2 linked regions of the Styela clava genome follow. The protein of the gene in region 1 interacts with the protein of each later gene in a pairwise test. Links are inferred from orthologs where the notes say so. Each region holds a gene or a part of one and is shown on either strand. Other genes may lie near its edges.

The links.
Region 2: the proteins of golgin subfamily A member 2-like (region 1) and cyclin-H-like interact in binary tests that used the Homo sapiens proteins (3 or more experiments, as listed by UniProt). The link is inferred for Styela clava from reciprocal best matches to the Homo sapiens genes GOLGA2 and CCNH.

Annotation. Positions count from the first base shown.
Region 1 is NC_135250.1:8,082,212-8,085,811, reverse strand, and holds the start of golgin subfamily A member 2-like, read right to left. Parts: upstream 2,760-3,600; 5' UTR 2,649-2,759; coding exon 1-2,648. UniProt on the Homo sapiens protein: Peripheral membrane component of the cis-Golgi stack that acts as a membrane skeleton that maintains the structure of the Golgi apparatus, and as a vesicle thether that facilitates vesicle fusion to the Golgi membrane.
Region 2 is NC_135258.1:10,982,269-10,989,502, reverse strand, and holds cyclin-H-like, read right to left. Parts: upstream 4,053-7,234; 5' UTR 3,972-4,052; coding exon 2,940-3,971; 3' UTR 1,831-2,939; downstream 1-1,830. Other genes in the region: putative ATP-dependent RNA helicase DDX23, read right to left, coding at 1-1,822. UniProt on the Homo sapiens protein: Regulates CDK7, the catalytic subunit of the CDK-activating kinase (CAK) enzymatic complex. CAK activates the cyclin-associated kinases CDK1, CDK2, CDK4 and CDK6 by threonine phosphorylation.

The sequences.
Region 1 (3,600 bases):
CGTGTTGGTGTTGTTAAATCGTTATCCCTAGAAATATCAGACTTCGGTACAAGATCTGGCTGCTCTTGCATCAATGATGATTTTGGATCTATAATTTGTTGGTTTTCAGATTCGATCGTTGTGTAGGATTCATCTAACCTTGGTGGGGATGCAGAAAAATCAACATCCCCATTTTGGCGATTGTTAAGCACGGCTACGATCAGTGTTTGTAACTGTTCGACTTTTCCTTGCATCGCTTCGCGTTCTTGTATGATGTTCGAAATATACTTATCTTTTTCTTTGTGTCGCTGCTTCAATATCTGCCTCTGATTATGATATAATGCTATATATTCTCCAATTGTGTCGCATTCGTTCTGTAGTTGAGTATTTGCGTGTTCCATAAGTTCTAAACGATTCAACAAATCCGCCTTCTCTTTCATTACGGCAGTAAATTTTTCTTGTAGAATGGCCATTGCATCAAGTTGTACACCATTGTTTTCAATTTGATAGGTAAAATGATTCTGAACATGTGATACGGTGTTATGTTCAGTATGCATATCTTCATCTGTTGCCATTGTCTCGTTTTCTGGTTCTGGTATTTTGGTAGAATCGTTTTCTGTAATTCTGTCATGTGACGCATCATTGATTATATCTGTATTTGTACTGGCATGTTCTATTTCTGAGTTACTTTCAGTTTGGTTAATTACTATAACAGAATTTAATTTTTCTTGTAAATTTTGGTTTTCGTTTTGCAATTGGGCTATCATATGTTGTAAGGCCTCAATTTGTGAGTTTTCAGGTGGTTGCGCAACTCCATTTTGATGAGATGATTGTGCAGCATTCAAATGCGATTGTAAATTAGAATTTTGTTCCTGCAAGCGATGCATTCCCAATTGGTACCTTTGTAATTCTTGTCTTAATTGTTCTTGTAATTCCTCACTCTGATCATACTTTAGTTGCAAGTCTTTATTTACATGTTCAAGCGAAATCACGTTGGTAGCAAGATCCATTTTGTCGTTACTCATTCGTACAAAACCATCCTGTATTTCTTCTAGTTGTTCTTTCAGTTGCTTGTTTTGTAACAATGCTCGAGAAATTGCTACTTTATCGCTTCGGGCATTATCTAACAACTGTTCATGTTCGTTTATAGATGATTTTACTTGATCAAGCTCGTTTTCAAGCTCGTAAATACGAGTTTCTTTTTCTTGTACTAAATGTGACAGATATTGGTTAGTGTTCTGTTGCGCTGTAATTTCCTCTCGGAGATTATTTTGTATGGTTGCAGCCTTTTGTTTTTCTTCATTTACAGCATCATTTATGTTATCAATGTTATTTTCCGTATTATCCAGCGTTTCATTTTTCTCTTCATTCTGTTTTTCATTCAGCGTTTTCAATGATTCATGCAAATTCATGCATTGCTGATACAAATCTTGTTTTTCATTTTCAAGCAATGATATTTTTTGCTGTAAATTTTGTAAATCGTTCTCCCATTTTTTTCGTGTATCATTATATTGTGTATCCAGTTGTTCACGTTCTGCGTTCATCTGTTCGAAAGCTTGTTGGTAATCAAGACACCTAGTTTTCAGAGTTTCGTTTTCTTGTTGTATATTCCTAAGTTGAGAAGCAGCATCAGCATTATTATTCGCTGACATTTGTTGGAGTAACACATCGGCCATTTCAAAACGTTCCTTCAAGTCGACATGTGTTCTATATAATTCGTTAAATTCCACGACTTTAGTTTGTAATTTTCCCATTAATTCAGTAGATTGCATTTTTTCGTTTTCTAATATCTGTTTCGTTTGAATCAATTCTTGATTATAATCTGAATTCTGCGATTGAAGATGAATATTATTTCTTTCAAGGTGATGATATTCGTCTGTTTTTGATTGTAAGTCTCTTACACAAGAAGCTAACTTTTCTCGCATAGTTTGCATTTCTTCAACATTTTTTTCGTGTTGAATATTTCGGTTGTGTAATTCCGATCTTAACATTAGTAATTCCTGATGTAAATCTTGCTTTTCCGAGACAAGAACGCTAATCGTTTGCATTTGAACTTGTAGCTTTTCTTGAAAAACGTTTTCATCTTCAAATTGTCTATTTTCCGATTCCGTTTTTGCTTCTAATTGTTTTTGCATCAATTGCACTTGATCTGATAAGTTTTGACAATGTCCGCGCAAGACTTCATTGTCTTGAGAAAATGACGCTAATTTGGAAGCAAGTTCTTGATTTCGGACTTCTAACGCAGATATAACGTTTTGCTGTTCAGGTTCTTCTGGCTTAGGGTGGTCGATAATTTGAAATTTTTCTTCGCTGCTGTGATTGCTACTTGCATCATCAATAAACATGGCTGCTTCAGCGGCAATTCCGTTTAATTTTGCGGAAACTTGGAGAATACTTTCTGTCGTCGCGGCAGTGCTTTCTGACAGATTATCACTATTAGCATTTCTCAATAATTCAAACTTTTCGTCAATGAATTTTTCAGATTTTTCAATTTCTAAAATATCATCAGCGTGGTTTTGAGTAGGTGTTGACGTGGGTGTGGGACGATCAGATGTTGTGGAACTAGTTTCTGAATTTTCTGCTGATTTCGGAGACTTGTTCAATCCCTTTTTCTTTTTAAATTGCCGCAATTTCTTTTTTGCGGCAGCTAATTTAGCTTCTCGATCCATAATGTTATTATATTCACGAACATAAAGTTCATTATTATATCCACTCTCTCACCATAGGTTGGGAAATTCACATAACAGTGATTTCTAGGGTTATGCAAAAAACAAAGAAATAACTATATTGTTACAGTAGTCATTAACCATTAAACAGAAACACATGTGACTGATGTGAGACATTTGAAATCTTTGAATGACAGTGGGCTACAGGAAGAACAGGACCTCAAATTTACTATTCAATTCTGCAACCAAGAGAAATCAGTGAGGCATGTGAGAATAATTCTAACCTACAAGCAGACAGGGGTAGCAAAGTAAATACTTCAACTGCATAAAAAATGCCAAACAAGAATGTGAATAGAAAATAAACGCAGTAACTGCTGAAACAATGATAAACAAAATGTAATGTGGATATGGAGGTCAAATTTTCAAGTCTGTCTCGTGTGGAATGAAATTTCTGACAGACGCGTTTAAGTAAAGTCAAGCCTACTTAATTTACAACTGAGCAAGTATGTTCCATGCAAAAAAAAATCAAGAGAGTATATCGTTATGTCTGTATCGTGCGAGACATACGGTACTTTTATTTTAAAGAAATGAAAATTTGGGCCGTATTTTAACATAACATTTTTCTTCAGCATTATTTGAGCGTTTACTCCACTATCAGACTATACCTAGGCTAAGCCCCGATGTCGAAGAGTACCGGTACTGTAGGTACCGTATGACAGTATGTGCTGCTTTTTTACCAGGGTCACCCCAACTCACACTCGTCTTGCGGTCTAATAAATACGGTAACTAACTAATCCCATACCCGACACGGAACGGTACCGTATCCTATCCTGTACACAAAGTGACTCTAACATTTTATAGTCACTTTGGCTGTACACAGCCTGTTGTACAACGTAATCTAAATCTAAACGCCCTCCAGTGTATTTTCTGTATTAAAAATTGTAGGAATTTTGAT
Region 2 (7,234 bases), on another chromosome or scaffold:
CCAACAGCTTTCTCCTTTTTGCATTCTCCTTTAACAAATGAACAATTTGTTTTACTTTTTCTATTGGTTTTCCAGCTACTCCAATATTCACAATCGCTGGGCGTCGCAAATAAGTTTTAGCTAACCTTTCAACAATAGGAGGCATAGTTGCAGTGAACATGACAGTCTGTCTAAACTTATGCTTTGATAGAAAATTGCTTCGCATTAGTAAATCATCATCCAACTGCTCTGAATCAGGCTTTTGATTTGTCACTGGCATATGATCAAGAATTTTCTTCACATCAGGTTCAAAACCCATGTCAATCATCCTATCAGCCTCGTCAAGAACAACGTATGTGCATTGGCTCAATACCAGATAGCGGTTTTCCAAGACGTCAATAAGACGACCTGGTGTTGCAATAACAATTTCACATCCCATGCGCAATTTAAAACCTTGGTCCTCCCTTGATAAACCTCCAATGACTGCAACAGTACGCATTCCAAGTTCTTTACCAAATTTTATGGTTTCCTCTTCGATTTGTTGTGCCAGTTCACGAGTCGGAGCTAAAATAATTGCATATGGTCCTTTATCTGCATCTTCTAATCTCTCTATTTTAGGCAGTGATGTTATCCATATCAAGAGGGGGATTAAAAATGCCGCTGTTTTACCAGAACCAGTCTCTGCAACGCCGATAATGTCACGGTTCAACAGGCCGATGGGAATAGCTTGTCGTTGAATCGGAGTTGGATCCTTGTAACCAAGTCCATCAATGATTGCTAGAAGTTCGTCTGGAATATCCTTACATTCTTTCCAAGATCGTAAAGGTGGTGGAATGTTTCCACCCTTAGTAGCTATACTGTAATCCTCACGGAAGATTCTCCAGTCTCTTTCTTGCATTTCCTCTAAAGATTTCTTTGTCCAATGTCTATCATCCCACAATCGTTTCTTCTCCTTTTTCAAAGCATTTACCATCCTTTTCTTTTCTAAATCTTTTTCTTGTTGTGTTCTACGATTCTCCATAAGTTCTCCATAAAATTGTGATTGTGACTTCTTTTGGACTTTAACGTCAATGCCTGCAATAAATCCACGGCCAAACAAATGAACTTCGTGTTTTTCTTTATAAATTGGATTGAAGTCAACAGAAGTGTCATCACCAGCGTCCCAATCAAACACGAATTTTCTGTCGTTGAGACGTCGGACGCGTTTTTTCTTTTTTACAATACCCAGGTATCGATCTTTGATTGATGACAATTCTTTCTCTGCGTCTTTATCGATACGTTTCTTGTCTAGTTCATCGTCATCATCTTTGGCTCTTCGTTCTTTGCGCTCTCTACGTTCTCGATCATATGGATCCTCAAGCATTTTTCTCCCTTCGCTAAATATCTCCCTCTGCTTTTTACGCATCTCATCCATTTGTTTTCGCTTTTCTTCGACTTCTTGTTGCCTTCGGGCGATTGCTGCTGCAGCACGGTCCTCTTTGGTAGTGAATTTTGGCTTGGCAGCAGCATCTTCCTCCGCCTTCTTTTTGGCAAGCATTTCCTCAAGACTGAGAGGTTGAACCTTTGGCTTTTGAATATCTTCTTCCTCTTCAACTACCATTCCATTTTGAGAATCTTGTGACTTTTCCTCTTTTAATTCTTTATCAGTTTTATTATTATCTGAATGACTATACTTGTGAGATTTTCGATCTCTGTCTTTTGATCGAGATCTGGATCTTTTTCTGTCATGTTTCTTACGTTCTCTTGATCGAGAACGCTTTCGTTCTCTTGAGCGTGATCTTTTAGATCGTGATCGATGTTTTTTCTTGTCTCTTTCTCTGGAACGAGATCTGGATCTACCCATATTTATGCTCTGTGAAGATGAAAAACAAAAAAATATAAATCACATTATCTAGAAAGGATGATTGGAACATTAAAGCTGTGAAGCATCAAAATCACTGCAGACCTTTTATTGAAATGACTATGTGGTTAGAAACACAACAACAAGCATAGAAACACAACATTGACTTTTTTCAACTATCTATAACGAAGGGAGATTAATAAGCATTACATTTCGGCAATTAAATTAGTCAGTGGTACACACAACTACTTGATGAATTTAACAAACAAAAAAAGGCACAAACAGTTAGAAAGCAGTATACGCCTAGCACATGAATAATTTCTATTTAGATATTGCCATATTGGGTGTGAATTTGAAACAATCTCATGGAAATGAAGTAATGCACTGTCAAAACTTAGATTCAGAAAATGAAAATCCTTTTAGATGTAAATCACTTCTTCTAACCATAGTTTTTGCTTATAAATTATACCATATAGAGCCAAGAGAGCCATGGGAACAAAAAATCACTTCATTTTTTACCATGTACATCAGAATATCTGCTTTTTAGTCAAATATCTTTAATAACACTAATAAAAAGGCAGTTATATGTTACCACACAAACCATAATCATCCAAAGTATTGTGGACACAAAAATGCCATTGCATAAAGAGTGCGACCTGGCTACCACCAGTCAAACTATTACTTCACCAAGTATAGAATGATATAGGGAATAATCATGCATATGATATATGAAATTGCCTACATTAGATAATTTCTCATATACACTGATGTCATATCTCATATAAAAAGAGGAAATCATGTGAAATTGGACACAAATTCAATAAAATTCTAATTAAACCAAAACATTGAAATATGCACGACTCGATTCTTTAAAAGGTTTATGACAGCTTTATGGTATTTCAAATCAGCACATTACGGTACTTTGTAATGAATGGTTTATTTTCTACAAATTCGTACTTTAGAATAATTAAATTCATTAAGAATGTTACTGGACATCTGAAACAGAAAACGAAACTATCAGGGTCATTTCCTTCTCCAAAAAAACCATTGGACAGTTTATGGTAGCTACTGCAAATTTTAGAGAAAATGAAATAATATCTAAAACTGATAGTGATGTATTTTAAAAAGCAAGTAAATCCATTTCAATTTGTTTTTGTCTTTGTGCTTCAGCTCTCCATTTTTGTGCTGCAACCCTATCTCTTTCTTCATCCTCTTGATTTTTTACTCTAGCGTATTCTTCAGTTAATGGATCGGATTCTCTATTCCTACAAAACTGTAGTTTTTGTTCTATTGCCATAGCAACAGATTCAGATGGTGGTTTAACACATTTCTTAATAATGGATCGAATTTTTTTAACACTTTTGACTGTATCATCCAACACGTTTTGCGGTTGGCCTTTCAATAAATGTTCCGTGACGTAAGCATCTAAATTTATACCCTGTTTTGATCCTACGGAAAGCAACGATGCCAATGCAATTTGTGAAGGAGTAAAAAGCAACTGGGCGTCCGTAAAAAAGGATGTATATAGGTAATCCCTTGCAGGTTTTCGAAGCATGTCAATCTTATCAATATTTCTTCCTGCATATCTAGTTTTTACATCAATAATAAACCCTTCGAATGGTCTTAATGGATTATGAACTGTGAGGTGAAAATTGAGTTCTTTGATTAAAATAAGTTCAATAGAAAGTATTGCATCTCCATATTTACGAGCATAATCTTCGCCATGATCTCTCGCTTCTCCTTTTAACAAATGATGAACATTCCATACAAACTGATCCATTGAAATATTAAATTCGTCAGTTTTACAAGAAAGCCATATCGCAGCTAACATCATAAGTTTTGGATTATAATCCATAACAGAATACCGAAGGTAAAGTCGTTTCATGTACTGGCATGCTGTTCCAATGCTAGTAAGAGGGATTTGAGGATTAAAATGTCTACAGAATTCTTTTATTAGTTTGTCATCATACCATCGCAGTAATTGTCTTTCCTCGTTTACTGTAAGAAAGAAACTATCATCATTAATATCATGTTCAGGACTTTTTTCCACATAACATTGTCTGTAAACTCGATTCACTTGCTCTCGTGCTTTTGATATTTCTGAATCATTTTTAAACGTCCAATATTTCCGCTGAGTACTTGAATGATACATTCCCAGTTTTAAGTAATTAATGCATTATAAGAACTAATTTAATTGTTAAAAGAGTTTATAATCTGTAAAATAAAATTAATAAACAATTTGCACTATTATAATATAGGAATTACGGTAATATTAACGCAAACAAAAAAGAAGGGGAAAAGTTTTACTCAACCTTTTTTCGACATGGCCATATGTACTAACGTCAATATTGTTAAACCCAGTAATATTTGCAAATAACCTGACAAAAATTTTATTTTTTGAATTTCCAATATCATCTTCGCAACGAAGAATTTTGAAAGTTTTCCCACATTCCCATTCGAAGTTATTTGTTGCTATGCAGTGCGTACGACCCTTAGAAACGCCTTCCCAATTTATTGTAGCGTGTATATTGTAATGGAATGGTTCAAGTACAGCTCCAACATCTTTATTAGTAATTTTGATATAAATGAAGTCTTCATCAATGGTTATTTGATAGCAAGAATCATTCGTATTAGTATCATCAACTTCTAATGAAAGATAAGAAGCAAGCTGCGACAAAGCTTTAAGCATACTTGTTAATTGTTTTGATTTATTTAATAATTCATCATTCTGGCTACAAAGAGATGGTAGATCACTCAATAGTTTTGAAATAGAATCATGTGATGTTTCGAATGAATACTCCTGTAAAAGGTATTTGGCATTGACCACTACAATAGAAAAATTGTCTTCGTATTCTTGAAAAGTCCATACAGTATCAAATTGTTTTATACCAACTTGCTGTTCATCAAAGAAATATGTACAGGTGGCGGACATATTTACACCCCGTGTAAAATCAGATATATTTTGAAGAAAAACTTGGGAAAATGATAATAAATTATTTTTTTCTAATATGAAGGATTTAATACTGCTGGATAAATTTAACCAGCAAATATGAAATTCATTGTCCTTAGATACTTGAGAAGCACAGGAGTGAAGCACACATACAGTTTTTTCGTATCCGACGAGCATTAGACCCGGTTTTGAAGTGGATTCATCATTATCATTTTTACAACAATCGTTGGAGCCATGCTCAAAATTCGAGCTCAACACTACTGGGCATACTGCTGCACATGATTCTGATAAATTACAAAGACGATGTAATTGTTTTTGTGAGCTGCCATAAACAGCAAGACTGCAAAACCAAACATCACCCCCAGGGTAAAAAATACAAACAACTGGTGAAGTTTTAAAACTAACTCCAAATAAAGACATAAACAGATAAGAATCCAAATGTTGGATATTATTGAGTGAATTAAAATATGGAATAAAAGGATTTTCATCTGTATTGAATAAGACAATATTCAGACATGAATCATTGACTTGAATAGAAGGCATGATGGAAATAGACTGAAACGAATGAAAATCTTTTTCGGTAGAACTCGAATTGTCACCATTTTTCAACTCTGACAAAGCATTGTGGAGTATGTTTGGGTTAAATAATATCATTTTAAATTCTTTTTTAGCAGTTTTACCAATTATAAGTATATTTCCTCCACTACATACAACATCGAATATATACATCCCTTTATATTTATATACAGAAGTCATTCTCTTGATGACAGCTTCGCCGTAACTAGCATCTTCCTTTTTCAACATAGATAACGCTTCCTTAGTTGTCGGAAGCAGTATTATGAAAATAGAACCTTTGCAAGTTCCACATAATAGTGCTTTTCCAGCGGTATTAGTTTCATTTGTAGGAATATTGATAATCGTTCCACATGTTATTTCTTCTGGTAAACGGAATGTTTTTATCTTCCTTGAATCCGCGTATAACAAAATATAACGATATCCAAATGATAGAATTGTTACTCTTGTGGCACGAATGGTGTAATAAATCAAAATCTTTTTCTGATTAAGCTTGGGGAAGCAATCTATGATAGTTATCTTCTTCTCCATTTCACTTCTACAACAGGTTATAAAACAAGAACATCTTGTAGTCTAATTTCACAACATAAAATTTTTTGTTACTGCTGTATTGGTTGGTATACCTGCACTGCACAGAACTTTTGACTATAAAGAAGGCTGAAACAGGATATGATTTACAAATGAATCCCGGCGGATCGGTAAGTCATTAAGACAGGTCAATCATAATGGCTAACCACAGCTTCTCGTTCGGTTACCAGTTTATGTCGGGTATGGGATTAGCGACAAGTAGTTCAGAAATCCTCTCGCACATAATTGAACCTGGGAACCCACGCAGGGTAATCAGAAGTATGGTGGCGAGCATATTATTTAAGCACCACGCTGCCAAGCATATCTGCATATAGACATAGAAGATCAAAACCAAGGCGCGGCGGTGTGGCTCATCATGCTAAGCGTTAGGAATACGCTCGCCACCGCACCTCTAATTACTCTGCGTGGGTTCGCACGTTCGAATCCCATGCAGGATGGTTATGTGCGATAGGATTGCTGGACTCCTCGCCGTCATAGGGTGGTTCACGTAACCGCTGGTCGGTTACGGCTTCCTCCACCATCAAGTCCCGACATGGAATGGTAACCGGACAAGAGGCCATGGTTCGCCATATGGATATGCCGTCGTATCGGCTTTCCTCTCCCACGGGATAAATATGTAAATCCTATTCTAACCAAACCAAGTCTATTTGCAATACCTACAATAAAATGAACCATACTTCAGTACCATGTGGCTATCATTTCAATTTAGCTTTTAACTTGAGTCAAATTCAGTGGCTTATTGCTATGACCTACTAACCTCAAATCTATTCTGATAAACAGGAAAATTTGGTTAAATAGCAGCACTGCACATGTCCCACATGCTTCAGTGCTTTGATCGCAAACGGTGGTTAACGTTGGCCGGGATGCAGCATCCGTATTTTAATAATACAGAGCCGCCGTTTACTCATTCCGAGGGAATGGCAAAATCGAAATATTTTTTTTTTTTTTTTAAGGTCCACGTTGTGGATTCATAACAGTTTTGTAAAAATAAATAAATGATGAAAAAATAATAATCATAGAACATAGTTACATATAATAAACAAATATATTCGTAAACATCATCCAGTATTATCCAGCAATTCATATTATCGAAATATTACACATAAACAAACATCGCACCTAGGCTACAACACTCTGACACTGCAAAACTCAGCCAACAATGGTCATTATTGAGAGGGATCAGAACGTTTCGTTTTCGTTCAAGTGCAGTTTTAAGTATTCTATGGCGTCTGCAGCTGCCGCAAAACCATGGCGGTATTTCCATACCATGGCCGCTACGGCCAAACCTATGGCGACTGACTTTT